4 linked regions of the Rhinolophus ferrumequinum genome follow. The protein of the gene in region 2 interacts with the protein of the main gene of each other region in a biochemical or structural test. Links are inferred from orthologs where the notes say so. Each region holds a gene or a part of one and is shown on either strand. Other genes may lie near its edges.

Region 1 (6,825 bases), on a different chromosome or scaffold from region 2:
TGCTGGCAATTCTGATTAATTAAAAGCCTTTCAGTTTGCTTGTCTCATCTGGGGCTGTCATGCACTGCAAGTAGGTCATTGTACATGGTGTGAGGTAGGGGTGCAAAGCTTTATCCCCCCCATGTTTACCTCCTGGTCTTCTTTATTGGAATGGCCGTCCGCTGCTGTGCAGTGTGCCATCACTGTTACAGACAGAACATCCACACACGTCAGGGTCTGTTTAGCTCAAGGGGGTGGGGGGCCCTGAAGCGTGCTGCTGGCCTGCTAGCCGGTGAGCCCCTTGAGTCCAAGGGCCTTGTCTCATTCTTCTGTGGCTGTGCTGCCCTGCAGGTGGCCTGGTGTAGTGAGGGGACATGGGCTCTGTGTGGAGCGAGGCTGGAACGCTGTCTCCCCTCCTTTCTTTGGGGCTCGCCCTGCAGCTTTCCAATTTTCTCCCTCACTCTCTGCCTGGGCCTGGAACCTTCCAGATGCCAGGGGCAGACACAGAGCCCTTTTTGGCAGCCCTCAGAACTTCTGACCCAGCCACCAGCCACCATCGGGGAGAGCGTGTGGAAGCCGCTGCTTCCTGTTCTGGGGCAAGGGACGCTCTTTGGAAAGCCCCGGACACACACGGGTGTCTGGCCTGAGAAGGAAGAACCCAGCTGGAGCAGAGTGACGGGAAGAGGCCATGTTTACGCACCTGCCCACTGCTGGCTTTTCTCTTTAGCACAGAGCTCTAGTAGGACAGGCAAGGCCTCACTGTCATTGTGGGGGGACATAGGAGTGGGCAGCCCCCCACTGTAGTGCTGGAACCACTGTAGATGGTGAAGAGGGGCCACCAAGGCGTCCTGGCGAGACAGGAAAGGAAATGCTGGCATCTCGGAGTGTCGGTGTCTCTTCTGGAATTCAAATGGCCTGGACCCTGCGGTGGCATCTCACTGCATTTGGAGCAAAGTCAGAGCCCCACCTGAGGCTCCCTGGTCTGCTGCTGGCTCCCCTCCTACCTTGTTTGGCACCCCTTCCGGCATCACTTACGCACAGCAGCCATCCAGGCTGCTTTCTGTCCTTAGACGTGCCTCACAGGCTTTGCCCTCGCAGTTCCTTCAGCCAGCAATGCCCTTCCCATGGTTCCTTCCACGGCTGACTTTTCTCATCCCCAGGGTGCAGTTTGGTTGTCTGACTCTTGAATGGCCTTCCCCGACCCGCTCTGTCAAGTCCTATCCTTGTTGTGTTTGTTTACTTGTTTATTGCAGTTCTCAAAACCGTGACGGCAGAGACTTTGTCTGTGTCAGCACTCTGCCCCCAGCACCTACTGCAGCCGTATGGTGGGTGCTCATTCATTGCTGTGTGAATGAACGAATGAATGAGTGAGTGAGTGGGGCATGCAGAGAGTGGTGATGGGGGCTGTGGCTCCAGCTCAGCCCTGACGCACTGTGTGTCCTAGACAGGCCACCACCCCTCTCTGAATTTCAATTTCCCTAACTGTAACATGAGATAAAACTAAGGATCCCCCTCACGCCATTGGGCAAGTAACCAAACCCCATGAACTACCACTGACTACTGCTCCGGGCCTCGGACGGGCTTAGGACTCCAAAACCAACACGCTATTTTTGGTCAGTTTGACAAGAATTAATCACTCACAGGTGTGCCTCCACAACGGTGCAAAGAAAACCCAAACCGGTGAGGTGTTTGTAGGAGACACAAAATCCAGCCAAGTCCATCTTACTTTTCTACCATTGAGAGTCCACACACAAGCCTTTTAAAAGTCTCAAAGGTTCTTCTACCATATGGTCCAGCAATTCCACTTCTAGGTATTTATCTAAAGAAAACGAAAACACTAACTTGAAAAGATATCATGTTCTTTTGGGTGAGAGACTGACACCAAAGACAATAAATAAGTAAATATCTAGTATGTTGTGTGCAGATAAGTGTTACGGAGAAAAATAATTAAGCAGGGAGAGGGGTGCAGGGGAGGGGGTTGCAATTAGACAGGGAATGGTCAGGGAAGGCCTCCTTGAGAAAGTCACATTTCAGCAAAGACCTGAAAGGAGGGAAGGAGGGAGCCATGGAGGTGTCTAGAGGAAGAGCATTCCAGGCAGAGGGAACAGCAGATGCAAAGGCCCAGAGGTGGTGGCAGGTCTGCCCTACTCCAGGAGCAGCCAGGAGGCCAGTGGGCTCGAGCAGACAGTGCACAACGGAGCGAGTGAGGACGGGCCCCGAGAGGGTGCTGCGTGGAAATAGCAATCGAAAGGATTTTCCTTGGCTTTGGCTCTGAGGTGGGAGTCATCGCAGGGGTTTCAGCAGAGGAGTGACCCATAATTTGACCCTTTTTTACGCAGACTCACTATGGCTGCTGCTGGAATCCTGGAGGACGGCTAGGAGCTCTTGCCAGAACCCAGGTGAGAGATGATGGAGAACGGGACCCAGGTAGTCATGGTGCATCTAGTAAGAAGTGGCTGCGTTCCACGTGTATTTTGAAGATCAAGCTGGAAAACTTACTCCCAGGTTGGATGTGAGGTATGAGAGAGAAGATGAGTGGGCTACGTTTTCCAGTGGCCCTGGCAGTTTTCTTAAGTAACCCGTGATTGTGCATTGAGAAGGTTTCCAGCTTTTCACTGTTATAAAGAAGAGGTGGTGAGCATGCCTGTGGACAGATCTGTACCCCACGTGGAATGATTTCCCTGGGCTAGTTGCAGTCCTTCTAACACAGCATTTCCCAACCCCAGCCCACTGCGTACTACTTGTGTAGGTAATTAGCTGGAGGCAGTGTGGGATGGTGGTTAGAGTATTGCCAGATGCCGGGGGGCAGATCGTGGCACTGGGGTCACTACTCGGACCGATTAACTTTTCTGTGCCTCGGTTTCTTTATCTATACATTGGGGACGATGACAGTCAATATCCCGGAGATTGGATTCACTGAGTTAATGTATGTAAAGCCTGGTCCATAGTAAGCACTATGTGAATGTCCGTTCTTTAAATTGACTTCACATTTAAAAACTACCAAGTGCAAGTGTTTTAAAAGGCACATTGATATTAATACCTTCAATGGAAGGTGTCACTTGCTCAGAAATCATACAATAAATTTAACCGAATGGAAACAAAACAGTGCTGTTAAATTCTGGTTGGATGTTACTCAGAGCCCTGTAGACTAGGCAGGCAGTGTTAGAGAGGCGTGGGAGCCCTGTTTGTATGAAACTGACGCGGCTCTCCTCAACTTAAACAGAACGATCAAAAGAAAAAGAAAAAAAAGAATTACTTTAAATGCCCGGTCTGCTCTCAGCTGACATGTAACCCATAACATTGCGGAAAAGCAGGGCTCTGGGACATCATAATAATCAGGCTTTAGATGACTTTGGGCTTACTGACCCATCAAAGGGTGTGTGGGTTATTCAGGCACCGAGAGCTTTGCTAGCTTTTCATTTCACAGGATGCCTTATGTGTATGGGTGTGTGTGTGTGTATGTGTGTGTGTGAGAGAGAGAGAGAGAGAGAGAGAGAGAGAGAGAGAGAGGGAGAGAGAGAGAGGGAGAGAGAGAGAGAGAGAGAGAGAAGGAGGGAGAGTTGAGAGTTGGGAGGGAGACTTGTCCTGAGAGACTCTCAACGTTCCCTCCAGTTGAAAGGTGGTCCAGAAAGGGGGATACACTTGGCCTGGGTCACACAGCCAGGGCCTTGCAGTCCTACAGGCAGCCCCGCCACTTCCCTGCCAGCTCTCGCTCCCATCTGAGGAGAGCTCCTAGCCGCCCGGGTGCTGCGGGAGGGCTCGCAGGACAGGAGGGACTTGGCTGGCTGGGCAGGTGGGCGGGGCCGAGAGCGGGGGCGGGATCAGGCGGGGACGGATCCCAGCGTAGGAGCCTCCCAGGCCAGGACTTAGCCGTGAGTTTTGCCTCCGACGAGGGTGCGGAGAAATCCGGGCGCCTGCGGCTCCGAGGTGAGTGCTCCAGGGCCCAGCTCGTGAGACAGCAGGCGCCGAGGAGGGTCCCACCCCCGGGACTCCTGGCTTCGGAGCTGTCCTGGCCGGTGGGCAGAGGGAGAGGCTGCCTCGGTTTTCCCTTGGCGGGGTTTCAGGGATCTAGACGGGAGGTAGACAGAAAGAGGGCATCTCGAAGTTAGGGAGCCCCCTGGAGGGCGGTGACTACAGAAGATGAGAAGGCTTGGGGGCGTTTCTGGGCCCCAGGAGCCTTTGAGGTCTGGAGAGAGGCAGTGATTTTCAGGTGGTGGGGAGTGTGGAGGGAGAGTCAGCAGGATGAGAATCCCCGAGGCACAGGGCTGACCTGGGAATGAGGAGGCCAGGCTTCAGGTCTCAGAGGGGCCTGCTCTCCGTGAGTCCCTTCCTCTCTCCGGGCCTCAGTTTCCCAATCTTACCATGCCTGTGAATAGGTGGGTGCAAGTGAGTAAGTGTCTGGATGACCTCTCACCCTTCCTGCAGCCTGTGACTCTTGGATGGCTCAGCCCCATCCCTACCAGACAGGCCCATACCCTCTGTGCCATTGGCCCTCTCCTTTGCTCCTCATGTTGGGGGCCAGCCAACTGGTCCTACTTGCTTCCCAGCACTAAACCGCCCCCCCCCCCCTGCCCCAGTCCCCTCAGAGAGGGCCTCCCACAGCCGGATCCCTGACTCTGTGTTGGCTCTGGTTTCTCACCCACTTCCTGAGCCCTTGGGCTTCTCCCTGCCATGGCCTTGGTCTCCTCATGGGTTATTCCCTGGCCACAGGGTCCTTATTCCACAGAGGGGAATAACCTGCCATGTCACCCGTCCCCTGATCCCTTGGTGAAGACCAGAGTGACATTTCCATCACCTCTGCTCTCCTGCCTCTAAGTTTGTCGGTCACTCAAGTCCCCTTTGCCAATCTGAGGCTGGAAAGGACCCCATCTCACCCACTACCTCCCACCCAGTGCAGGACCCCTCTGCTGTGTATGCTCAGTGATGCTGAACTTGTTACTTACGAGGTGCTGTTCTGTGGCCTGCAGCTCTCATTTCATCTAGCTAACATCTGTGGCTTGCAGATTCCATCCTTTCGTTCCACTTCTGCCTCCTGGAACCATGCAAAGTAAATTCATTCTTTTATTCATTCAAACACTCTTTATCAATGCACTGGGTGAGACACTGGGGATAGAGCAATAAAAAAAGTCCGGCAAAACTCCCTGCCTTCATGGAGTTCCTATTCTAGAGAGGAGTCAGACAGCAGTCAAATAAGTGAATACATGATACGTCAGGTGGTGAGAAATAAAGCAGGTGAGGAGGATGAGCATAGGCAGGCATGTCCTCTCTGAGACGGCGACAACTAAGCAAGGCCTTGAAGGAGTTTGGGGGTGGAGTTTCGGGAATATCTGGGGGGAAGGACAGTGTACCCACATAGGGACAAGCAGAAGGTCCTCAGGCAGAAGCATGACAGGCAGGAGCAGGTATGTCTTGTTCTAGGAACAAGGAGGGGGACAGTGTGGCTGGAGCAGGGTGGGTGAAGAACCAGTGTGGGACGAGTGGGAAAGAAGTACAGAGAGGTAAGGGCTGGGGGGCGGGGTCCGTTGCCTGGGCCGAGGAGGCCGCTGGGAGAGCTTGGTTTTCACTCTGAGTGCCGAGAGAACCACCGAGAGAGCCACCGGAGGGCTTTGAGCAGAGCTGTCACCTGCTCTGACTTAGGGGTTAGCAGGTTCACCTGGTTGTGGGCGGGACAATAGGCTATAGGGGGTGAGAGCAGAAGGGGGACCCGTGAGGGGACCACAGCTGTCATTCTGGGGAGAGGCCGTGAGAGCTTATACCCAGGGCGTAGAGGTGGTGAAATGTCAGATTTTCAGATTTGGGATATATTTTGAAGACCGTAGGGTGGAGAGGATTAGGGATGCAAGAGAAAGGGGGCGTCAAGGGTGACGCGGGTGGTGGGGTGGAGTCTGGCCTGAGCACCTGGAAGTTTGGAGCTGCCATCGACTGAGATGGGAGCTGTTTACGGGAAGATTTGGTTTGGTGCTTGTTAAGCAGGAGATGCCCGTTAGCACCCATGCGAAGACGGCCAGGACGCAGTTGGGAAAAGTTTAGTAGAGAGGTTGGAGCTGGAAATAAAATTTTGGATGATATCACCACATACCTGGCATTTAAAGCTATAAGAGCTGGTGAGTCCACTTAGGGAGAGAGTGATATGGAGAAAAGAAGTCCAACCAGGGAGCTCCGGGGCTCCCAGCATTAGGAACCAACCAAGGAGTCAGAAAGAGCAGCCAGGGAGATGGGAGGAAAAGTTGGAGAGTTGGGGTGTCCTGGAGGCAATGAGGAAGGTGCTTCAAGGAGGAGGGGGGCAATGAGGACAGATGCCTTTGACAGAGCAAGCAAGCTGAGGGCTGACAGTCAAGCCATGCAGAGGTCACTGGTAACTGTGACAAAAGCAATTGGGGATTAGGGAAGACAGGATTGGCAGGGCGGGGAGGAGAGGCGTTGGGGACAGCAGTACAGACAACAGACAAGGAGTCCTGCGGTGAAGGGGCAGAGAAATGGGATTGGAGCCAGAGGGAAGTGGGTGTGGAGGGAGGGCTTTACTTTTGGGGTGAAGTTACAGTCTGTTTGCGTGCTGGTGGGAAACTCTTTTAGAGAGAAGCTTGGTGAAGGGGGCCAGAATAGAGGATGGCTGCAGGGCTGGGGGGGGGTGGGGGTTGGATCCAGTGCCCCAGGGGAAGCTTGGGCCCAGCCGAGAGCCAGTGCAGTTCAGAAGCTGGGGATCCCAGGGCCTCCCTCCCTCTTCTGTCTGCAGGGGCCCAGCAGGCTGAGATTTCAACTGAAGCCTGAGCATCCGTCAGCTGCCCCAGATTCAGTGCAGTGTGTTCGGGAAGGGCCCTGCTTACTCAAAGCTCATCCTGGTGGATG
Region 2 (7,536 bases):
TATAAGGTGTGACCAAACAATATGGTGAATCTTTAAATTAAAAAAATTACTACAGTAAAAGACACATTGCCATTAATACCCCTCAAAATACTCTCCCTCGTTTTGAACACACTTAATACCTTGTTCTTGCCACTTTCTGAAGCGGTTCTGGAAGTCCTCTTTCGTGAGTGTCTTTAGCTGCGCTGTCGTGGCTGCCTCCATGTCCTGAATCTGGGGAAGAGTCAGAAGTCCCATGGTGCCAGATCTGGTGAATAAGGTAGATGAGGACACACCATAATGTTTTTATTTGACAGAAATTGCCATATACCAGAAGCATGTGTTATGTGGAGCACTGTCATGATTTATGGCACACTTTAAAACACATCTTCTCTCAACCGTAGCTCACACCCGCCTGACTGCACTGAACAAGTTGAAACTTGTCACACACTGTTACTAAGGTTCGATGTGCTGCTTCCCATATCAAAGATCCCTGCCTTTGCATCACATGGCACTCGGCAGCAGCATTCATTGTATTTTGTGATCACAACAGAAAGGCTCTGTGTCACACATCGCTTGAGGTATGTCAATTTCCGCCAAATAAAAACATTACAGTATGTCCTCATCCACCTTATTCACCAGATTTGGCACCATGCAACCTCCGGTTCTTCCCCAAAGTCAAAATGACCATGAATTGTAAATGTTTTGAATTGATTCAGGATATTGAGGCTGCCATGACAGCACAACTAGACACAAAAGAGGACTTCCAGAACTGCTTTTGAAAGTGGCAAGAACGAAGGGATAAGTGTGTTTGAAGAGAGGGAGAGTATTTTGAGGGGGATTAATGGCAATGTGTCTCTTACTGTAATAGGTTTCTTTAAACATTCACTGATTTTCTAATCACATTTCGTAAGTGTTAAGATAGAGACAACTACAGGAAATCGCAAATCAAAGTTGGGAACACCCTACCTGTAGACCACTAGTACATAGGAATAGAAATCTAACATGCAAAAAACATGCCTCTCCTAGCCTTTTATGGGGCCCAGGGGAAAAATATAAATGGAGGTTCACATATTCTATGTCTAAATATTCATAAGTTCTAACTCAAGATAACCAACTTATAAAAGAAATACATTCTATCTTCCTACCTTGACAATACTAACTTCACTAGAATGCAGTGATGTGATCAAAACTTGCCTTCAGCTCCTGACTTATCCCCCATCTCCTCCTACTCTGGACTCAGTTCTATACTGCAAGGAACCTTACACACCCACATGTGGACACCCTGACCTACCCATCTGAGCCCACTCACACTCCCTCCCCACAAAGAGATACCCATTGGCTAGCCCTCAAGACCCAAATTCATTGGTCACTTTTGAGTTTTTCTCATGTTTAACTTCTTGGAAGAATTCAACACTGAAAAACCTTTGTATCTTGGTTTCCACTCATCATAATTTTGTTTTCCACAAATTTCTTTGGCAGTTCCTCTACCCATGCCTTAAAATTTTTATTTCTTAAATCTGTTTTAAGTCCTACTCTTTTTCACTTCTGTAGGTGATCTCATTCATTTCCATGAATTAAATTATTATCAGCAGGCCAATACTGTTACATAAGACCGGGTCTTATATTAATCTTTGCTCCAAAACACGTAGTAGAGCTGATTGTCCGGCTAGGTCTTATTTTCGGGGAAACACGGGAAAACGGCAGAAAACTATTTCAGAACTTCCTGGAAATAATATTTGATCAGGTTGGCTAGTCTGGTTCTGAGACAGGGAGTAAAGACAGCACTTTTTAGGTATAGAGCAGACCTCTGAATAATAAACATATGTTGGTTGCATATCCAGCAACCATTCCCTGCTTTGTGCCTCTTAAATCTTCAGATTTTTCTCCTAATTAGCAGCTGCTCCTCTTCCAAGCCCCTGCTTTAGTGAGTTCTGGATCTAAGCTAAACAAGATATTTGCCTCAAACCTCCTGTCCTCCATTCCTCACTCAAGGGTACAGTTGCCAAAGTCTTTTAAAAAAGAAAGTTCCCTGCTCTTCTCAGATAACTAGCTACTAAAAGAGGTGCTTCCTGTCATTGTACTGAAAAGTGTGATGTCATATGAAAAATTAAACTGCTAGAGCATGCATTCTCAGTGGGGGTAAAATCGCCTCCAAGGGGTGAACATTGGGGAGAAAAAAATCTTACTCTTTTTATGTATAAAGCAGAAATATGTACACAGTACATAAACAGATATACAGTATTATCTGTGGTATTAAAGCTTTGGGGGGCATTAGAAATAGCCTTAAAAGACTCCTTAGGGGGCAATGATATTTTAAAAGGTTGAGAACTACTGTTTTAGAGCAATGACAAATACCACAAAAGGCAGAAAGCAATCATGGAAACTCATTATTGATACTATTATTAACTTTAGAAATCAAATGACACCTGAAGCCTGTTCTAGCTCTTGACTTTCCACTTAACTAAGCCAATTAATCCCCTTTATTGTTGAAGCCATTTCTCACTTGGACAACTGAGTAGATGATGGGATCCTTCATAAAGGATCCCAAATGCACACAGAAGAACAAATCTGTGGTGGGTGATAACTTCTAAATTTGCTTTTGCAAGTTTGAAAGGTGTTTAGGTTTCTATTTATCATCTAAATAGAGATGTCCAATAGGTCCAGAATTCAAGAAAAATTTGAGCACTGGGAGAGATTGGGAGTCATCATAAAAGTGGTATAGGAAGTCAAGGCCTGGAGTAAAATTATCCAAAGAGTGTGGAATAAGAAATTATTCCTTCATTCTTTTATCCATTCACCAAACTATCGAGTGTTACTGGAACTACAAATAAAACATGACAATGTTTTCCACAGGAGTTCCTGTCTTCTTGATTGCCAAATCCAATACCCTATTTGCAGTCCCAAATGTGTTTAACTTACGTCTATACAGCATTTATTTGGCTGCCTTTTTCTTAATTGGAAAGCTCTCCTCCAGTGATATTCAGGTCACCGTTCCCGTTTGCCCCTTTCTGTTCCTTTTCAGTCTCTTACCGAGACTTAAAATTTGACATTCACAGGGTTTCATCCTTGGTCTGAAACCTTCATCTCTAACTCCAATTATCCTAGTTAACTTCAACTCAAATTGACTAAATAAACAGCTAGTTCAAAACTAAAATTTGTGTTGATAGTACAACACAGGCAATACTTTCCGCCTTGGAGATACACTGACCTAAGTTCTACAAGCTTGTGAGGATCATAATTGTTTTTGACAAGGAGAAAATTCTGCAATGTTCTAAATTACAGCGTAGGGAGAGTGAGACAGAACTGTTAGTCTGTTGATGGCTGCTCGCCAGCTAACAAAAGACTGCTCACAATCTTTGTACTGCCTATTGAAACTTTATACTAATTTCCAGGTGGTTATTACTACAGGTGATTTTAACCAGGCACCATCCAACTCCAGGAGCTCCACTTGTTTACATGTGGGCTTTCTCCACTGGTGCCCACAGCCAATCTACAGAAACGGACATTTTTTATGGGGACCCTGCGCCTATCTCACCTCCCACCCTTTTCCTACAGCTAATGTAAATTCTTTAAGACTACCTTTCTTGTCCCTTCCCCCTACTTGATGTATAAAAACGCTTGCAAAACTCTGGGAGGATGGACATGCTCTCTTTTCTATCTAGCCATGCTTCTGGTGGTTTAGACTCCATGCTCCAAGACCCGTCTTCTTTCTGGCTTAGCACTTTGGCTCAATAAAACTTTATCTTAAAAAAAAAAAAGAAAAAGAAAAAAAACTTCAGTTATGGAAGTTATCACTCCGTATGTATTATTAATATTAATGCAACCCATAACTTCATATGAACATAACAAATTATGTCAAACTATTTATTTCTACCTTATCTAATATTAACTTCTGTTCTTGAGAACTCAGCCTACATACTGTTATCCAGATTATATGCGCTGGCTCGCTCTGTATTATTTTCGTGAGACTCTCTCCGAGTCAGAGACTGACTCAAAGTAACAGTAGCAACTGTTTCCTTCCATAAACCACACTGAGGGAAACACCTTTTCCAAGGCTTCTTAAAGAACTAGTTCAGCTTAGCTTAGGGGTGAAATTAAAATGGTTCATCACATAAACTCAGTCCAACACTACCCCGGCCGTCTGCAGGTCTCTGCGAGAAAAGGGACCAGGGCCATAACATACTTCACCAAGTAGAGGTGAAACCATAGCTTTTATCTTTCCCGCTGGTTCCTAAAGGACCAACCGCACAGACATTCCATCGTGCTCCGCGCTACTTCCGTTCGCGCATTTGATTTACGTCAGAGCGTCAGCTCTCGCGGTATCATCCGATTGCTGAGGCCCTTTAACAAAGATCTCGCGAAATTTGGTCTACAGATCTAAGCTAGCCTCTTACCCTCCCCCGCCCCACCCCCAAAACTGTCCTTCCTTTCTCAGTCTCAGTTAAAAAAATTCTCACTTCCCCTCCCTCGAGCTCGCTACCCTCCTCCTGTTTCCGATTTCAGGCCGGAACCGGAAGCTTAGTGGGCGGGGCCCGGCGGCGGAAAACGCAGCGGAGCCGGAGCGGGGACTCCGCTGTGGCCGCTGCCCCTGTCCCTTCCACGGATCGCCGTGGCTCCAGGCTGAAAGTCGGTCAGGAGGCGGGTGGGCGCGGGTCTCCCCCGGAGTGTCCGGGCGGCAGCTTCCCCGGGCCCCCCGGGCTCCGCGAGGGATCATGTCTACAGCTTCCGCCGCTTCCTCCTCCTCATCGTCTTCGGCCGGTGACATGATCGAAGCCCCCTCCCAAGTCCTCAACTTTGAAGAGATCGACTACAAGGAGATCGAAGTGGAAGAGGTGAGCGAGGCCCGGCACGGAGGCGCCGGCCCCGGCCGCTCCCACCTCTACCTGTTGTCGACTCTTAAGGCGCCTCCGCGGCCCCTCTGATTCACGGAGCCCCTCGGGGTTCACCGGGGAGTCCCAATATCCCCACAGAGACCGGGTGTAGAGCGGACTCTCCGCGTTCAACTGCTCGGGGGTAGCTCTATTTTTCCCTCACTTCGGCACTCTTGAGTTTGGATTTGACACTCCGGTGCCTGGATTTGGGTCATCTCAAACAGGAGGATGAACTGGTGAGACAGTGTGGTCCACCAGTTCTCTCATCTGTAAGTAGTAAATTCATCCAAGCCCGTGGCCGTTTTGGAGTTTCGATTCACTAAGACATGGTGTTCTTAAGGGCCAAGGATTGTACTTTATATTCGACATTAGCTCTGCCTGGCACGTAGTGGGTGTTCAGTAAATGCTTGGTAAATTAATACATCATTATATCTAACAGTTTCCCCGAGGATCGAATGGTTTGTTTCGCCGATTCCCTAGGAGCAGTAGGGAATGTTGTGTTCTGCCTTCAGCTGGACTAAGTCAGATGAATTTCAACAATAGTAATATACACTGGTGTGCGATGAAAAGATGTTTCAAGTATCGTATTCTGAGGCGATAACTAATGATTTCGGTGACAACTAGAATATAACACCAGACCACAAAATCGCTGTTAGAAAACCCGAATCTATACTTTATTTTGCAGTAGTTTAAGGGTAATAACATGTGCCTGTAATACATTGCTGCTTTTCAAATTCAGAGGAGTAAATTGGTTCTAAGGACCATAACATACAGAAAAGCAAAAATTGTATATATTTTAAAGACACACTTTGCAAAGTGTTAAACCTTTGGTTGAAAATAGTATCTATCAGTTACCATTTACTTATCAGTTTTAGAATTTATTAAGTACTTTGTATTACGTATTCCACGAAGAACCCTGTATGTCCTATATTACAGACTTTTGGTTATCTCTATTTTAAAAATCCAAAATTATTTTTAGGTAGTGACAAGCTAAAAGATAATTATCACTTAACAAATAAGTTTCTTTTCTATGAATGTTTTGGAAGAAGAATAGGTTACTTAATCATATTTTTTTATTCCATAAAGAAACCTTAGAGATCACCGAGAACAACCTTATTTTACAAGGTAGTTTAAATGGGAAGAACGAGGCCTTTTGGAGTTAGAGGAAGGTCCAGTATATTAGCTATGCCACTTAATAGTTGTGTGATTTGGAGCAAGTTTCCTAACTAATCCCTTGGAGCTTTAGTTTCCTTAACTGTAAAATAGGGGTAATTTCTATTTCATTTTACCTGTATAACAGATGCTATTAGGCAACATATGCATTACACCCAACACAGTGCCTGACACATATTACTAGGAAACAGTTCCAGAGTACAACAGTGACCTGCTTTAAGGTCACATAGCTAAAAGAAGGACCTGTGGTTTGGAAAAAGGGGGGGATTTTTGTGTGTGGATATGTTTGTTTTGTTTTTTTCTATTGAGGCTAAGATAAATTCCTTTTTCAGAAGTGGATAGTTTATCCAACTTTCATGGCTAACATTCTTTCTTTTTTAAGAATAAAAATTCAGTGAGTCTTTCTTTTTTAAGAATAAAAATTCAGTGAGTCAGTATAAAAGAATTGCAGTTTTTAAATAAGCATTTACGTCTACTCTGTGGTGAACTGTCATGCTTGTAGACTACAAATTGTTATATAATAATAACTTGTACTTCATGGTCTACCAAATGCTTTCACTGAGTTACATCATTTGATCCCTACAACATTAGGTTCTGCACACTACTTTCTAAAGCATTTTACATTCTCGCTTCTTGGAGGAATGAAAGTTATTAAAAGGAGACAGTAACTTTTTGCTGCTCTTCCCCCAAAGCCATTTAACTTCTAACTAGGTTTTTATATTTCCAAAGACCTTTCAGTTTAAATAATGTTTCAACCTTTCTTTGGTATACTTAGGACATTTCTGAGATGTAGTTTTTTGTTTTTAAATGAAAATTTCTAATATTAGGCAATCATTTAGGGTTTTTTTTTTTAAATACCCAGTTTATTTGCCCTTTAAAGATTATATTTGGATGTTTCTGATGTTGCAGCCATTACATAATTTTCATCAGATTTCTTCATTTGCATACCTTAAAATTGTGGTATATGATCCAGAGTGCACCATGGGTACTCAGTAACTATTTCTCAACTTAGATTCTGCTTCTAGGTTAAAATCATTAATAAGAGAACAGAAAAAGACCAGAAACAGAAAGTATTTTACATTGCTTTTAATATTTTGTATAAGTATAGCCTATAAATAAAGAAAATCATATTCCAAATTTGTGAAATAACATTGTAATTGAATCCGTATACTGATTCATTTTGAAACTATGTAAGAAAAATACTCCAACCACAGACCAAATATACAGTCATTTGTTTAGTTGATGCATATGTTTAAGGCATCAGCTGATTTAAATGCTTACATCCCTAATAGTGTGCCTCTATAATCAGTGTGGCATTTCCTAAATTCAGTTCTGATATCAAATTATGAAAGGTCTCAGCCTTGGAAATCTACATAGATACTTTTTGTTTTAAGTCATTTAGTTTTTACCATTCTGGATCTGAGTGTAGAGAATGTTAGAGTAATTTCTCTGAGGTATGTACATTTTGGGAACTAGCTTGCAAGAAGAGGTAAAAGTGGTGTGATATGGTGAG
Region 3 (7,126 bases), on a different chromosome or scaffold from region 2:
GAGGAATGCTTACCCTTAGCTGAAGGTCATACAAAATGACTTTCGAGGGCCCCTCAAGCTCTAGGATTCTCATCACTATTACTATTAAAAGCCTTAAGATTTCTCTTTTCCAAAGAGAGGACAAAGAGCAAACGTTTTGCAATGATCCCTTGAGGCAACTTCATGGCATAATGCCACCATCTGACCTACTTCAGGAAACATAGCATATGACTGTTGATTGCGTCATTTAGACTCCCCAAAAACGAAGTCTGAGCTGAAGTACTACTCATTTTTAAAAGCACGCAGGTTAGTGTTAGGTACTTGGATCAAGCTTCATGCATTATCTGCCGTCCTGCTGCCCTGATTTTGGTCACAGAAGACAGATCACCTCTGTCCTGCTTGCAAGGGAGTCTAAAGCCAGGCAGAACAGACTAGGAAAGGCTGACTGTCATCTCTGTGCATCTACAGGTGCAAGCTAAGCTCAAGTGTGTCATGCATCACTTTTTCAATCACTTCTTCCACTGGGAGCTGATTGTGATAACTCTACTGACCCTCTATCTTTCCTCGTACTATTTCTATGACAAACACAGCCATCACAGAAATGTCTGAAGAATATCGACAGATCTACAATTTGTCCCACTGCAAAGGTAACCAAGAAAATTCTGGTTCCCAAATTTCAGATTCCAGATCAATTTCAAAATATCCTATTTCTTTCCATCCCATATACTAATCTAAAATCTCTGGCAGAATTTGCAAAAGGAGAGAGAGAGAGAAAGAAATTTAAAATGTTACAAGCATGCTCTTGTTAGAAGTTAGTTTAGGAAAAAGGCAGGTTCACTTCTCCAAGACTCTACAAAGACTTCTGCTACAGACATAAGTCAAGGACACTTGTTTCCGTCCCCTCACAGGAGGAAAGTCAAGTTCACAATGTCCATGTTACACATAATTATGACCTGAGGCCACTACCATGGTTGACATTTCGGATAGAAAAGGAACAGAATACTGCACCTGAAAAGAGTCCGGAGTTATCTATTGGGCCAGGAAACAGGTTGTGTTCACCCACATTGTACATATCCCAGCTGTCGAAGCCCACATACTTCTTCCACTGTTTGAACCACCGGCTGTCAATAAGATACCTAGAGATAGACAAAAATTTACTGTACCAGAAAAGCTGAGATAGTAAGTTTCTGCAGCTGCTCCCCTAATTTCTTTATGGTCTTTCCACTTAGGGAACAAGCAATCCCCACTAAAAAACATTCTCAAGACAGAAGCAGGGCCAGCCCCATATGGCACAAAGAGCCAATGGATACTTCTGAAAGTATCCAGTAAGTGAAACGATTATTGAAAAATGAATAAATGAAAGGAAGGAAATGACTGGCTTCAAAATATTTATTTAAAGCAAGTCTTTCTACTGTGAAAATCTTGTTTGCTAAGGACCAAGTCACTAATGTCATAATGATCTTTACAGAGGTCCTTCTCCAGGTAGACAATTTGGTTACACTGCTTTGCTTGACATGAATAACATTAAACTAATTTTCTTTCTGAAAATGGGATAATAACATCACACACTTCAGCATTCCTTTGAGGACCAAACAAAATGTCAAAAAAATGTGTGTACATATGTATATATGTGTACATACAGACATACATGTATACACACATGTACATACATACACATGTAATGTGTAAGTACAATTATATTGTCAAAAAGCAAGTTGATCTGGTTGTATTTTTTAAGTATTACTATGCTGTTTTACAATTAAGACAGAAGGAGGGGAAAACCTCCATTGGGGAAACAAAGCACAATTATATTGGTGAGTCTTTCAAATTTTATAACCAACAAACCTCAGAGATAGGCAGCTTCTCAGGGGTCACAAGGATCCATAAATCCAAATCTCTAAATGCTCTTTTCCCTCCAAACCCCTTGAACAATACCCTCTAAACACGCTAAGAGTGTGATTTTAGTCTCTCAAGTGTCCTCTGCCCCTGCGTGCCCTGCCTGTCACAGCTTGGCTCGCTCAAGAACAGTGTAAAGTCTTATATGAGTTCCTCCTAATCCCAATGTCTCTCTTCCCTGCTCATTCCTGGCACTGTAAGTGGCATTATCAACACCACCATGGTTTCTTAAAGAGGGAAGCTCAATCATTCTTTGTAATAAAGCCAAGGTCCAGTTTTCTACACCCACACAATAATACCACCCAGGAATCTCTTTACCAGTGGAAGTACTGTCCCTTTCACTAAACAATTTATTATGAAACTTCTTGTCTCAGACTTGATCTTCTAAAGCCCAGTCTTTTCATCTTTTTTTTTACCTAGGCTATGAAATGCTGCTGCCACAATTATTTTTGACATTTGCTACCAAAATAACCTGGGGCTCTCAAACATTTGTTCAGCTTCTGACCTTGACATCTGTTCTGCTGTTTACAAGTTACAAAGTGTCTACTTCTGATACGCCTCAACCCACTGAAGGGGAGTATGTAGTGTCAAATACTGCTACCACGGTTTTAAGAGTAAGGAACTGGGGTCTATGAGGTGTGGACGCCTTTGCCCAAGGTCACACATCGAATGCCCGAAGGCAAAGGGCTCTCCCCATCCTGAAGGTCCCGGTGAGCACTCCAGTCCCTATCCTGCAGCTCTTTCCCCCGCCGGGTCCGCCCACTGGGGTTCCGAAAGGGCTGAGACGACTCTCAACTCCGCCCACGCTTTCCCAGAAGTGACCTCAGGGTCCCTTTCCTAAGGGGCCGAGGTCAGGCCACTCTTCTCAGAGTCACTACATCGCCCCCGCCCGGCCCCTACCCAAGCCGAGAAAAAGGGGCCGGCCTGAGCGCCAGAGCCCCGGCCCCTGGCCCTGCGCGGCGGAAAGGTGGGCCGGGCGCTCACCACTGCGCCCCCCGTTGGAGCGTGGTCCTCATCAAAGCCCCTAGCTCCGATTTCTGGGTCTCAGCATCCGGTCGTTCACCGCAGCCTCCACCTTCCGCCATCTCGTCCGCAGCCCAGGCTCAGCCGGTCCGGACATCCGCCTCGCGCACAGCGTGTGTGGGCCACGCCCACTCACGCACGCACGTACGTGCGCGCGCCCAAAGCCCCACCTGGCGCAGCGGCCTTGAGCGCGGCCCGCCTGTGCGTTCTCTCCCGCCCCCACCCACCGCCCTCTCCCACGGGTGCGCCGTGAAGCAAAGCAGGGAGGGGGCCGGAAGAGCAGGCGGGCGCCGGGGAAGGAGCGGCCACTTCCTCCCGCTCCGAGGGGTGTCGGGCACTCCTTTCTCTGTACAGCCCCGCGGTCTCAAGGAGTCAGAATGCAGGACCCACGACCCCTCTCCTCTGATGGAGGAAGTCATTGAAAGGACGTGATGACCGGTTGACCCGCGAGCTCGACTCGGGCAATCGGAGGCTCCTCTCCCCCTTCCCCTGTCCTTGGAGTGAGCGTTCTGCTTGGCTCCAGGTGCTAGAAACTGCCCAAGGACGCAGTTTTGAGATAGTAATGTGGTGCCGAGAACTTCTGGAAGGTCTTCGTGACTGAGTAGTTAAGGCCTCTGTACAAACTTTAAGATTCTGGTGGTCAAGTAGCTCTACTTTTGCGCGCCCAAGACAAGCCCTATGTAAGTTACCCTGCTTATTAAACCTGCCACCTACCAATCTGGAGTGGCCTCCCTCTTCCGCTCTCCAAGTCTTCTGTGTTAGGGCCAGTTTCAGATTCTATCCGGAAGCTCCCTGGAGGCTTGCGGGGTTATCCTGGTCTTAAATGCACTGCTAGAGACTGGAAGCCTTGGAACTGGATTTTCTTGTGTTCACTCCTGCCATTCCACTTTCAGCAGAAGGCTTGAGCGCGTCCTTAGCTGCCCAGAAATAAGATGGGGATTACTGTCCCGGAGGATATCAGATGTGCCCGGTGCACCATCGCATATACTGGAAGGTGTGGTCTGATCATTAACAATCGTTTCAAATAGTCTGGATGCCAGAATCACCTGGCCCACGGCAGAATTCCACAAGCGCTCCACGCTGAGCTACTTGCCTTGCCAGAGGGACAAACAGCCACAGAGGGGTGATAGCAAGGTGGGAAGGGGAGAGGTCTGGGTGTGTTCTCCACCTTAGGTGCCCAGGCTTATTAATTTGTTGCTGCAACAAGTACAATATCCTGAATACTGTATCTTTTCCACTCAACCCTGTGCACAAAAACAGCCCTCTCCCTGGAGGGGACGGAAGCCCAGAACAAGGAGAAAGCCAGACAGTTGGTCTACATGACTCTCCATTCACTTGTCTCTCAGTTTCTATCCTCAGAGAAAAAAATAAGACTCAATACCTGCCTGTGTACAATCTAATAGAGAAGAAATCTACAAATACCCCTGCACCAAGCAGAGTGTGGTAAATGCCATTAACAGGTATGAACCAGACTGTAGACCCTGAGCTCTGAAAGGGAGCCTTTGACTTGAGTAGCATTTGAGTGAGGTCTTGAAGAAAGCATAGAAATGATGGTGTGTGTTACAGGAGGGGAGACTAGAGAGGTCAGAGAGAATTTCTGGAAAAAGCAGGGTAGGATCAAATAGTGAGGATTAGGCCAGTTGAGCTGGGCACAGACTACTGAAAGAGACTGAGATCTAAAGCTTTCTAGATCTACATGTCCTGCCTTGCATGGTCCACAGTTACTGTAAGAGGTTTTGGAGCAGAGACCAAATGGCTTAGGGTGCTTTACACACACACAGTGGTGCAGCCCAAAGACCTACTAGGGACCTTGCCCTGAAGAGGGGGTTATGAGAGAGGAGAGGAGACTCAGATGAGCCATGTGATGGAAGAGGGAGAGCTGGCCTGGTGAAAATGGTTGGTCATCTGAACAGATTTACTATTTCTATGTTGGGTTACGGCTAATTGAAATTAATTTATACTCCCTGGGACATCCATCACACACCATCTGGTAACACAGGCCTCTTGGTAATTGGGTAGATAGCAGGGGAAAGTAAATTTGGAATTAAAATTGCCTTCAATAATCACATAGCAATTAATCCCCTGCAGATAAGAGTTACCACTGGTGACTCTGGGTGGTGAACACACAGTGTGATTTATGGATGATGTGATACAGAATTGCACAACTGAAATCTATGTAATTCTACTAACAATTGTCACCCCAATAAATTAAAAATAAATTAAAAAAAAAAAAAAAAAGTTACCACTGGTGATAATTCAACAGCTGGGGAGCCAGGCCTGACAACCCGAGTGCCCTTTTTTGAAAGTTATTTGAAATTGTTAAAATGTTAACAAACAAGAAACACTACCTTTAGTCCTGTTATTTATGGAAAAAGAAAGTTGGGTTAGTGACATTACTTCAGAACCTACTTTAGAGAGTGTCTGCTTCCCTCTTCTTTTTTTAGCAGTTTCCCCTGTACCATTTATGGCATGGGTCACAGTCTTAAGGAAGTAGGACGAGTCCTCAGCACGACTAGAAAGAAGGACAAAACCTAATTATAAAAATGAAAACTTTGGAAAATCTTTTTAAACCTGGATTTCTTCAGTGCTATTAAATAGCAATAAAAATAGTACACTAATTATGGGTATTTCCTAAAATTTAAGACTGCAAAGTGCCAGTAGTTAAAATGTGAGGAACAAAGTGAAACATCATAGTCAGAAGATCATTATTTCCAATGTTTAAAACTTTTGTTAGTTTGATTAAAACGTTAAAAACTGAGAACAATGAGCATCTGCCATTTGTTCCACCTATTGTGGGAGTGACCTGTGGATTAAGAAGGAAGTGAGTTGGGGCTGGCCCGGTGGCTCAGGCGGTTGGAGCTCCATGCTCCTATAACTCCGAAGGCTGTCAGTTTGGCTCAGTTGGTTGGAGCGCGTCCTCTCAACCACAAGGTTGCCGGTTCGACTCCCGCAATGGATGGTGGGCTGTGCCCCCTGCAACTAGCAACAGCAACTGGACCTGGAGCTGAGCTGCGCCCTCCACAACTAAGATTGAAAGGACAACAACTTGACTTGTAAAAAAAGTCCTGAAAGTACACACTGATAAAGTCCTGTTCCCCTTCCCCAATAAAATCTTTAAAAAAAAAAAAAGGAAGTGTGATTCAGGCCAGGAGACACCCTGGCCCCAGGGCTATATTCCCCTTTAGGCCATTTGCTTGGGAGAGGTGTAGAGGTGTAGGCCTAGTAGGGCACTCATTTGGCCCCACAACCAGACCCCAGAACTAAACAACCCACCTGTTGCCATGGGAACTTGGGCCACAAGAACCAGGAGGAAAGCAGGAAGAGAGCTAGAGGGGAGAGGCTTGGCTGATTGGTCATGAACTGCTTGATGTTGGACTGTGGTGATCTACTTGAGGGTTTGTAATGTCTGGGCATGTGAACTTGAAGCTTTATTTGGTGCCAAATCATAAAGTTCTCGTGTGGGCTGGTACTGTGGCTTGCTCTATACCTAACTGGCATTGGCCCTCCAAAGTCACCCCTGGTCCACACTTAGCCAGCAATTACAGAGCACATGTGGCAGTGAGTGGGCACCTTTTGGTTAGAGGTGACACAAATATTGGGCACCTTTTGATTAGAGGTGGGCACCTTTTGATTAGAGGAGGGAAGTATTTTTGTTTCCTTCTTGCCTGTGCTTCCTTAACCTGCCCAGGGGACTGTGGAAAAGTTGAAAATCTCTAGTATATTTTAGAAGAACTAAAGGTCTGACCGGTAACATTATAACCTCTGTTATATAAGGGTTAGGTTATTGGGGAAGGTGACAGAGGCAAAAACCTGAAAGAATCTCATAGAGAGGAAGTGGGATCACCTTTCCTACCTTGGAGACTCGTGCAGTTGGATACATTCCATTCTGGTTATGCCACTGTCTATGGCCACTGTCTGACTGGGCAGGGAGGGGGGCGTGGCACCCTAGGCCCAGGTGTGGCCAGTGTCTTCTTTTTCTCCTAATTCTATTACCATCAGTGTCTTAACCATAAACAAATATTTAGATGTTAATTGTGTGTGTTTGCCCTTTGCACAGAGCAAATTCTCAGTAAACGTTTCTTGGATAAATGAATGAAAAAATTGTCCAGATGCTAGTCATTTTTTCGTTTGACCAATAATATGTTATGTGCTTACAATCTCTACCCTCCAGGGGTTCACAGGCAGTGTGGTTGGGGAAGATATTTTCACATGTAATTACATCTATAGG
Region 4 (7,765 bases), on a different chromosome or scaffold from region 2:
ATCCGGACAAGCGTGAGTGCCACTCAGAAGGTTCCAGGCTTCTACTCTTGCCACGCAAGCGCTTTTCCACGAAGGGCTTTCTCCGATCACAAATCAGATCACATCAGGCCTCTACTCAAAACCAGCCGAGAGGCTCACATCGCACTCAGAACGGAATCCACATGGCGCCCTCGGACCTGGGTGACACGCACTTCTTCCCAGCAATCCACTCCAGCCACACGGGTCCCCTCCATGCTTCCTAAGGCAGGCCTTAGCATCCCTGTTCCCTCGGGCAGGAACACTCCCTCCCGAACCCCACTGCACCGCATCAAACGTTGGGGTCTTCCCCTGCCATGCGGCCTGAAATGGCTCCTCGACCACTGTGTGTGCCGACGATTCCCCACCGCACCACCTGACGTGATGTGATAATCATCACATAGCATCTGTATTTCTGCATTGTTTACTCCTGTCTCCCTTCCTAGAGTGAGGGTCGTGTCCCCTGAACCTTCCCGGCACCTGCCACACAGTGAGTGCTCAGTGCCATTTGACATTTGAGAGAATGAACCATAGGTAGCAGAACTGAAGGTGGAACTTCACAACTGGAGTGTGACCGTGCCAGGCTAGGAGCGTGGCATGTCAGTTCATTTACTACTAACAACACTTCTGGAAGTCTTCTCGGTTGGGGAAACCAAGGTTCAGGAATGTTGCGTGACTTACCCAAGGCCATACAAGCAAGATTCATACTCTGTTTTATCTGGCTGCAAAGGGCCTAGGTTCTTTTGAACACATCAAACTATCTTCAAAAGCTCTTCTTTTCTTCAAAAGATCTTTTAAAGTACCACACTGCCTGGGGACGAAAGTTGCAACTTCTCAGGATGTCATCCCACGAAGCGCGCTGCCCGCTGGCCCCAGCACTCCCTTCCAGCACCACGTCAGCGAGTCCCAGCGCTTCCTGCAAGCCTCCACTGGCCCAGTCAAAGCGAGCCATCCACAGCCCCTCTACGCACTGCCACCAGAGGCCTCACACATTGTGTTAGCGGTATGTGGCTCCTCCTCCCAAGCTCAACTGCAAATGGAGCAAGAGTGTGTACATGCCTTATTCACTTTCACATCCCCAGGTCCAGTAACCACAGACTAGCAGTCCTCAAAGCCATCTGCTGAATGAGTGTCTGCGCTGCTCTCCCCAGACTCAGAACAGCACAGGGCAGGACAGCAAGCCCCACACACTGACACCCTCTGAGCAGAAATGTCCTGAGCATCATTAGGGTGGGAGGGGCCTTGTGTAGACATCCGTCATCCCTTTGCTTTCGTCAAGATGCTACATGCTTAAAGCTAACTAACCTGTATTTCAAAGATTCCCCCACCACCCAGGAACACATTCTGGAGCTAGTAAAGCTCACCTTCTGTCTAACCCAAGTTCCTTGGGCTCCATCGCACCTACAGGGGAGGGAAGCTGGCAGCCAGTCTCCAAGCCAAGCTAGCCGACAGCAGTTATCACTTTTATCATTTGCCACACATTGCAGCCAGTGTTTCTGGAATGTTTACAATGGGGACATTTACACAGGGGCCCTGACGTCTGGGAGCTTACAAAGCAAGAGGCCAGGTCTACCTAACCAACCCAATGACAAGGCCGACCTATCAAGTAGTTAAATAAAGGGGGGCAGCCAAAGGTGTAGGAAGAGAGCTACTCCCTCCCTCCCACTGGGAGTTGCTGTCCTGGAAGAGCAATTTCAGAGTCTACACAAAGCCTGTCATTCATACGCAGCAGTGAAGGTCATCCCACACACACACATTCTGTTGCTTCAAGACCCTCAAGGGCAGGACGGCCACTGTTGAGCACTAGACCTGGCTACAAATGCTTTCCTCATTATTTTACAAATATTTACTGAATGCCTGGCACCTAGTGGTGGTAGGTGCTGATGGCACTATTCATTGTACAGGTAGATCACAAGTCCCTGTCTTAAAGGACTTCACCTTCCAGTACAGGAGGCAGACATGTCCACAGGCAATTACAACAGACTGTGTCTGTTGTGTGCCTGCTGTGTCTGGGGAGGACCCATGGGACCGGCACCCAATCCTGGCAGGTCAGAATAGGCCCACGGTGCCAACGTGTGTGCATCTATGTACATGTGTCAGGAGGACCCAGGGGCTGGAAGACATCAGCTACCAGCCCATGAGAGTCCAGACTGGGAGTCGGGGTGGGTCTCATGACAATCCTCCCACTGCCTGCGCTCACCTTACAGATAAGGAAATGGAGGCAGAGGCGGATGGAGGCATAGTGAGATACAGCCAGGACCAGAAGCCAGGCTGCCTGACTGCGGTCATTCCTTTGGTATAGGTTACAGGTTAAGAGGGTTTCTGGAATGACTGCCTGATTTTCATTCTGCCTCTGCCACTTACCAGCTCTGTGGCCTTGGGCAAATGACACCGCTCTGTGCCTCAGTTTCCTCATCTGTAAAACAGGAATCACAGTACCTATCTCATAACGCTGTTAGGAAAATGAAACTTACAATGTAAAGCCACTGGCACAAAGCCTGGGATAAAAGTGGCTGAGGCCGCTACGATTATCATCCCACGACTGCCTGCTCAGTGCCGGGTGGGCTCACCACCCTTGCTCCCTCCGCTGCCGCGAGGCCATACTCCCTTCTGGCTCCAAAATGCTTCCACCCTCGACGCGCCCTGGACGCTACAGGGGACTCCAGGACCGGAATCCGAGCCCCCGACGGCCGGGCACACCGCGCTCCTGCGCAGGGCTCGCGGGGCCGCGCGCGCCCAGACCTAGGGAACGAGGGGGGCCGGCCCTGGAGAGGGGAGGGCGGCGGTCACATCCCGCCAGGGACAGGTAGGCGGCCCACGGCAAAGTGGCAGCGGCGCCTGCACCCGACAGGCCTCCCCGCTCCCTCCCGGTTCCCAAACCCCAGCCCGGAGAGCGGGTCTCTTCCTCACACTCTGTAGCAGGCTCCTCCTCTGCGCCGCCATCTTGAAGGGACCCGGCGGGCGCGCCCGCCTCCCGGCAGAGCAGACGAGAAGGGCGGCTAGAGCGGCCTGATGCCGGCCCGGAGGCCGGCGCTACCGGGGAGCAGGCGCCCAGCGCCACCCCATGGCCGAGTGGGATGGGGCCGCACCGGGGCGTGGACGCGGTCGCGCTCTTCCACCTTTTTCTCTAGTGGGAGATAAAGGGAAGGCTTCCGTAGGTTTGCCCCTCGCCCATTTTTATTTGCACACTTTCCCCAGGATGCCTTTCAGGTGAGGCTCCCAAACCCGGGGTTAGGTTCTGCAGGAACACGATGGGGAAGGCGGAAGGTGGGTTATTCGTTCACGCAACACATATTCATTGGGTGACCGTGCCTGGGCCTTTAGGGGTGAAGCAGCAAGCAAAACAGGCCTTCAAAAAGCTAACGTTTTAATTGGGGAGGACGTTTATATACATACGTCTTTCACGTGGTGATACTGGGTTTTCTGGAAAATAAGACCTACCCTGAAAATAAGCCCCAGTTAGGATCAGCCAGACGGCCGCATTTTGGTACGTTATGATGATGTTCCAGAAGAAAATGACATGACTGTACTTGAATAAATGTAGATTGTGGTACGTGAAAAAATAAGACATCCCCTGAAAATACGCCCTAATGCGTCTTTTGGAGCAAAAATTAATCTGAGACCCGGTCTTATTTTCGGGGAAACACGGTAAATGCTAGGAAGAGAAGTTTATGGATGAAGCATGGTAGTGCAGTGTTAACTGGTAACAGGGAAGGGAAGGGCCAGCGAGTGCAGGAAGCCTGAGGGAAGGGAGCATGTGGGTTCAAGAAGCACGCGTGTTACAGAAGGCTGATGTGGTTGGAAAAAAGATGGAGGGGGAGTGAGATGAAGGGCGCGTAGGGCAGACTCTGACCTTGTGAGCCCCAGGCAGGAGTTGGGCTATTCACCTGGAGGACAAAGGGAAGCTGTGCACATCCCAGCAAGTCACTGACACGATCTCAGGTAGAAAGATCCCTGTGACTACTGTGTACAAAACAGATTTTTAAGGGGATTGGAGTGGAGACAGGAAGACCGATTAGGGGACTGTTGTACTAGTTCTAGGTGAGAGATGATAGTGGTTTGATTTGGCTGATGGCAGTGAGTGGACTTTATTTAGGAGATGAAATCTGCGATGCTGGAGCAAGGATTGGTTGTGGGTGGTGATGTGTCAACGATTCTTCCAGATTTCTGGCAAGAACGGCTAGGTTTGGGAGAGGGAGAAGGTAATGACCAGGAGTTCAGTCTGGCCGTGTTGAGTTTGAGGGCTTTTGAAACATTCAAGAAAAGAAATCAAGTCAGTCTTTAGATGGAGAAGGCTGGAGCTCAGAGCAGAGGCTAAACTGGCAAAGATGACAGAATGAGCAGCTGGAAAGGCAAGGGGAGCAGAGGCAGCACAACCCAAGGTGAGGAGTGTCTAAGGAGGGCTGGGGCAACAATGTGAGATGCTTTTGAGAGGTCTAGTTAGAAGGTAACTCTCTGGAGAAAGTCTATTAGATGTAGCCATCTTTAATTGCGCAGGCAGTTCAGGTAGAATGGTAGGACCAAACTCCATTTGCAGTGAATTGAAGAATAGCTGGGAAATGGAGACCTTGAGAATAGGCGGACTTCCCAATTGGTGGACTGGGAAGAGGAAGAGAAGGGAACGTGGGGTTGAGAGAGGGTTTTTCCTGTTAGGCTGGGGAAACTTGAGCCTGTTTAAATGCCAAAGGAAAGGTTTAATAGAGAAGAGCTGATGATTTAGAAGGGGGAAGTGGGTGTCAGTCTAGGATGGTGACTCACCATCTTGCTCTCCTCTCAACACAGCTCCACATGACTCAAGATGACTGCTTGAGCTCCAGCCATTTGTCTGAGTTCAGCCAGCTGGAAGGCAAGAGGAAGATAGGAAGATGATACCTCTTTCTTTCTTTCTTTCTTCTTTCTTTCTTTCTTTCTTGTTTCTTTCTTTGTTTCTTTCTTTCTTTCTTCTTTCTTTCTTTCTTTTCTTTCTTTCTTTCTTCTTTCTTTGTTTCTTTCTTTCTTTGTTTCTTTCTTTCTTTGTTTCTTTCTTTCTTTGTTTCTTTGTTCTTTCTTTCTTTCTTTGTTCTTTCTTTCTTTCTTTCTTTATTTGTTTCTTTCTTTCTTTCTTTGTTTCTTTCTTTCTTTCTTTGTTCTTTCTTCTTCTTTCTTTCTTTCTTTCTTCTTTCTTTCTTTCTTTCTTTCTTTCTTCTTCTTTCTTTCTTTCTTTCTTTCTTTCTTTCTTTCTTTTTACATTATTAATAACAAAATTTACTCGCAGGCAATCTCCCTTCCCTTTTAAGGGACCTCAGAGGTTCCGCATGATGCTTCCCCTACATCTCTTTGGCTGTCACTTAACTCATGCCACATGGAGCTAAAAGAGAGGTGAGGAAATGTAAGCTTTGGACTGAGCTACAATGTGCCCAAGTACAGTTCCTGTACTAAAGAAGGATTGGATAACGGACACCAGGAGGCTATGAGCAGTCTTCTCTGCCAGGAAGGGGTTTGGGAGGGGCCAGGTGGTTTTTCCTGTTGAAGAAGAGTCTGGAAAGAATCAGGATTTGGAGCCCAACCCACTCCATTCTAATCGCTGCCCCATATCCTGTCACCTGTGTGACCCTGAATAAGTCACCTCCCCTGTCTGAGCCTCAGGACCCTTCTTATAATGGGAGTAAGGCTACCTGGCCGAATGACTGCGAGGATTAGATGAGGTGCCATGGAAAGACCTGGCTTGTGGTAGGCCCTGATTACAATTTAATGTTTTTAAAGATAATAAACACACATTGAGCACCTACTGTATGCCAAAGCACTTGCTGGATGCTTTCTCATCATACACTTATTCATTCTCACACCTGCCTTGTGAGATAAAGATTGTAGTCATCTTTAGTTTATAATGTAGGAAACTCCAGTTCAGCAAGTTACCCAATAAATAAATGTCGGGATTTGAACCTAGGTCTTCTGACTCTGTGATGTGATGTAATAAGAAATACATATTTTGGACTGGGTCCCACAGTCCTGGCACAGAGCTTCTTTTTTTTTCTTTCCCCTTTCTTCTGCCTCCCCCCACCCCCCCCCAATTCCAGTTCAAGCCGTTGTTTCTTAGTCTAGTTGTGTAGGACACAGCTCCCTGGCTCATGCTGGTATTATGAGCCTTGTGCTCCCCGGCTGAGGCAGTCGGTTTGCTGGTCATCGGTCGGCCGCTCACAGCAGCTCTCGCCGGCTGCCGGCCACTCACGCTGGCTGGCGGCAGCACACAGCAGCACTCAGCAGCTCCTGACAACCTCCGGCTGCTCACAGCAGCCCAGCTCCAGGAAGACGCGTTGTTCAACCAATCTTAGCTATAGAGGGCGCAGCTCACTGGCCCATGTGGGAATCAAACCGGCAACCTCAGCATTAGGAGACAGCGCTCCAACCACCTGAGCCACCAGGCTGGTCCCCACAGAGCTTCTAAAAGGGTTTTGAAATTTCCCTGAGTGATAGAGATGGTAGGAGCATCATTTGTTACTGATAACAAGCACTTTCAACTATCTTGCAGGTTTATGTAATGAGATGACAGGTGGCTGGAAGCCCCTGGATGACTTTAGGCTGGAGCTGGTTGCCAGAGCAACCACCCACGTGATTAGAGGTTTGGAGCTTTGAGCCCTGCCACTCCCATCTCAGGAGGGGAGAGGAGCTAAGAATTGAGTAAGCACTAGCGGCCAGTGATTTAAGCAACCGTCCTATGTAATGGAACCTCCATAAAAATCCTAAAGGAAGGAGTTTGGAGAACTTCTGCGTTGGTGAACCCACATCTGCGTGCTGGGAGTGTGGCACAACCCAACTCCAGGGGGACCAGAAACTCCTGCACGCTGTGGACCTTTCCAGATCTTACCCTATCACCTCTTCACTTGTATCCTTTGTTAATAACTCGGCAACAGCAAGTCACGTGTTTCCCTGAGTTCTTGAGCTGTCATAGCATTTTATGGAATTTGAGGAGGGGGTCATGGGAACCTCCGATTTGTAGCCAAATTGGACATTAGTGTAGATAACCTGAGGACCCACTACTTGGGACTCATGTCTGAGGAGGGGGCAGTCTGTGGGAATCCACCCTTAACCTGTGGGGTCTGTACTAACTCTGGGTAGTTAGTGTTAGACTGACTTAGATTACAGGACACCCAGTTGGTGTCTGCAGAGAGCTGGAGAATTGCTTACTGTGGGAAACCCACACATCTGACGTCAGAAGTGTTCTGCTGTTGTAGGTAAAAACCCCTCGGTCGAAGACTCCAGGGCCTTTCCCTGCAACCCTGTGAGAGAAGCAGACCCTCCAAGGCCCTTCACAGCTCAGCCTCACTGTAATTGCTGGAAGTTTTCCACACAACCACACTGTTTCCGGCCTCCATCTTTGTACCTGTTGTTCCCACATTTGACTACCTGGTGGACTTTTATTCAATTGTCCAGGCTCTTAGCAAATGAAAGCCCCTCCTCAGAAATTTCTCTTGATTCCCACCCTAAGGATACTCCCTCGGTCATTTTCGATCATGGAAAACTCTAGTTATTGGTTGCAGTGACCTTCCAGAGGGCAAGAACTCTGGCCGTTCAGCTCTGGGTCTCCTCACAGGCTCCAGGAAAGCTGCTCAGCAAATGTGTGTTCGCAAATTGGTTGAAGAGTCCGGGGGACAGGCAGTCCCAAGGTCTCCAAGTGTCTTAGAGGAGAACTGGGACTATAACTTGGGGCTTCCAGGCCCCCCAACCCTCTTCCATACCTCAGCCCCTAAACAGTACACTATGGCAAGTCCTC

The links.
Region 1: the proteins of MAP3K7 (region 2) and NOD2 form a complex in vitro, tested with the Homo sapiens proteins (2 studies listed by BioGRID). The link is inferred for Rhinolophus ferrumequinum from reciprocal best matches to the Homo sapiens genes MAP3K7 and NOD2.
Region 3: of the proteins of MAP3K7 (region 2) and USP4, one has a biochemical effect on the other in vitro, tested with the Homo sapiens proteins (2 studies listed by BioGRID). The link is inferred for Rhinolophus ferrumequinum from reciprocal best matches to the Homo sapiens genes MAP3K7 and USP4.
Region 4: of the proteins of MAP3K7 (region 2) and TAB1, one has a biochemical effect on the other in vitro, tested with the Homo sapiens proteins (4 studies listed by BioGRID and IntAct). The link is inferred for Rhinolophus ferrumequinum from reciprocal best matches to the Homo sapiens genes MAP3K7 and TAB1.

Annotation. Positions count from the first base shown.
Region 1 is NC_046298.1:5,222,896-5,229,720, forward strand, and holds the start of NOD2 (nucleotide-binding oligomerization domain-containing protein 2), read left to right. Parts: upstream 1-3,817; 5' UTR 3,818-3,906; intron 3,907-6,712; 5' UTR 6,713-6,825. UniProt on the Homo sapiens protein: Pattern recognition receptor (PRR) that detects bacterial peptidoglycan fragments and other danger signals and plays an important role in gastrointestinal immunity.
Region 2 is NC_046286.1:47,046,542-47,054,077, reverse strand, and holds the start of MAP3K7 (mitogen-activated protein kinase kinase kinase 7), read left to right. Parts: upstream 1-4,522; 5' UTR 4,523-4,691; coding exon 4,692-4,811; intron 4,812-4,909; exon of another isoform or gene 4,910-5,119; intron 5,120-7,536. UniProt on the Homo sapiens protein: Serine/threonine kinase which acts as an essential component of the MAP kinase signal transduction pathway. Plays an important role in the cascades of cellular responses evoked by changes in the environment.
Region 3 is NC_046300.1:7,021,840-7,028,965, reverse strand, and holds the start of USP4 (ubiquitin carboxyl-terminal hydrolase 4), read right to left. Parts: upstream 3,019-7,126; 5' UTR 2,961-3,018; coding exon 2,860-2,960; intron 1,116-2,859; coding exon 988-1,115; intron 1-987.
Region 4 is NC_046293.1:8,078,020-8,085,784, forward strand, and holds the start of TAB1 (TGF-beta-activated kinase 1 and MAP3K7-binding protein 1), read right to left. Parts: upstream 3,015-7,765; 5' UTR 2,959-3,014; coding exon 2,926-2,958; intron 1-2,925. UniProt on the Homo sapiens protein: Key adapter protein that plays an essential role in JNK and NF-kappa-B activation and proinflammatory cytokines production in response to stimulation with TLRs and cytokines.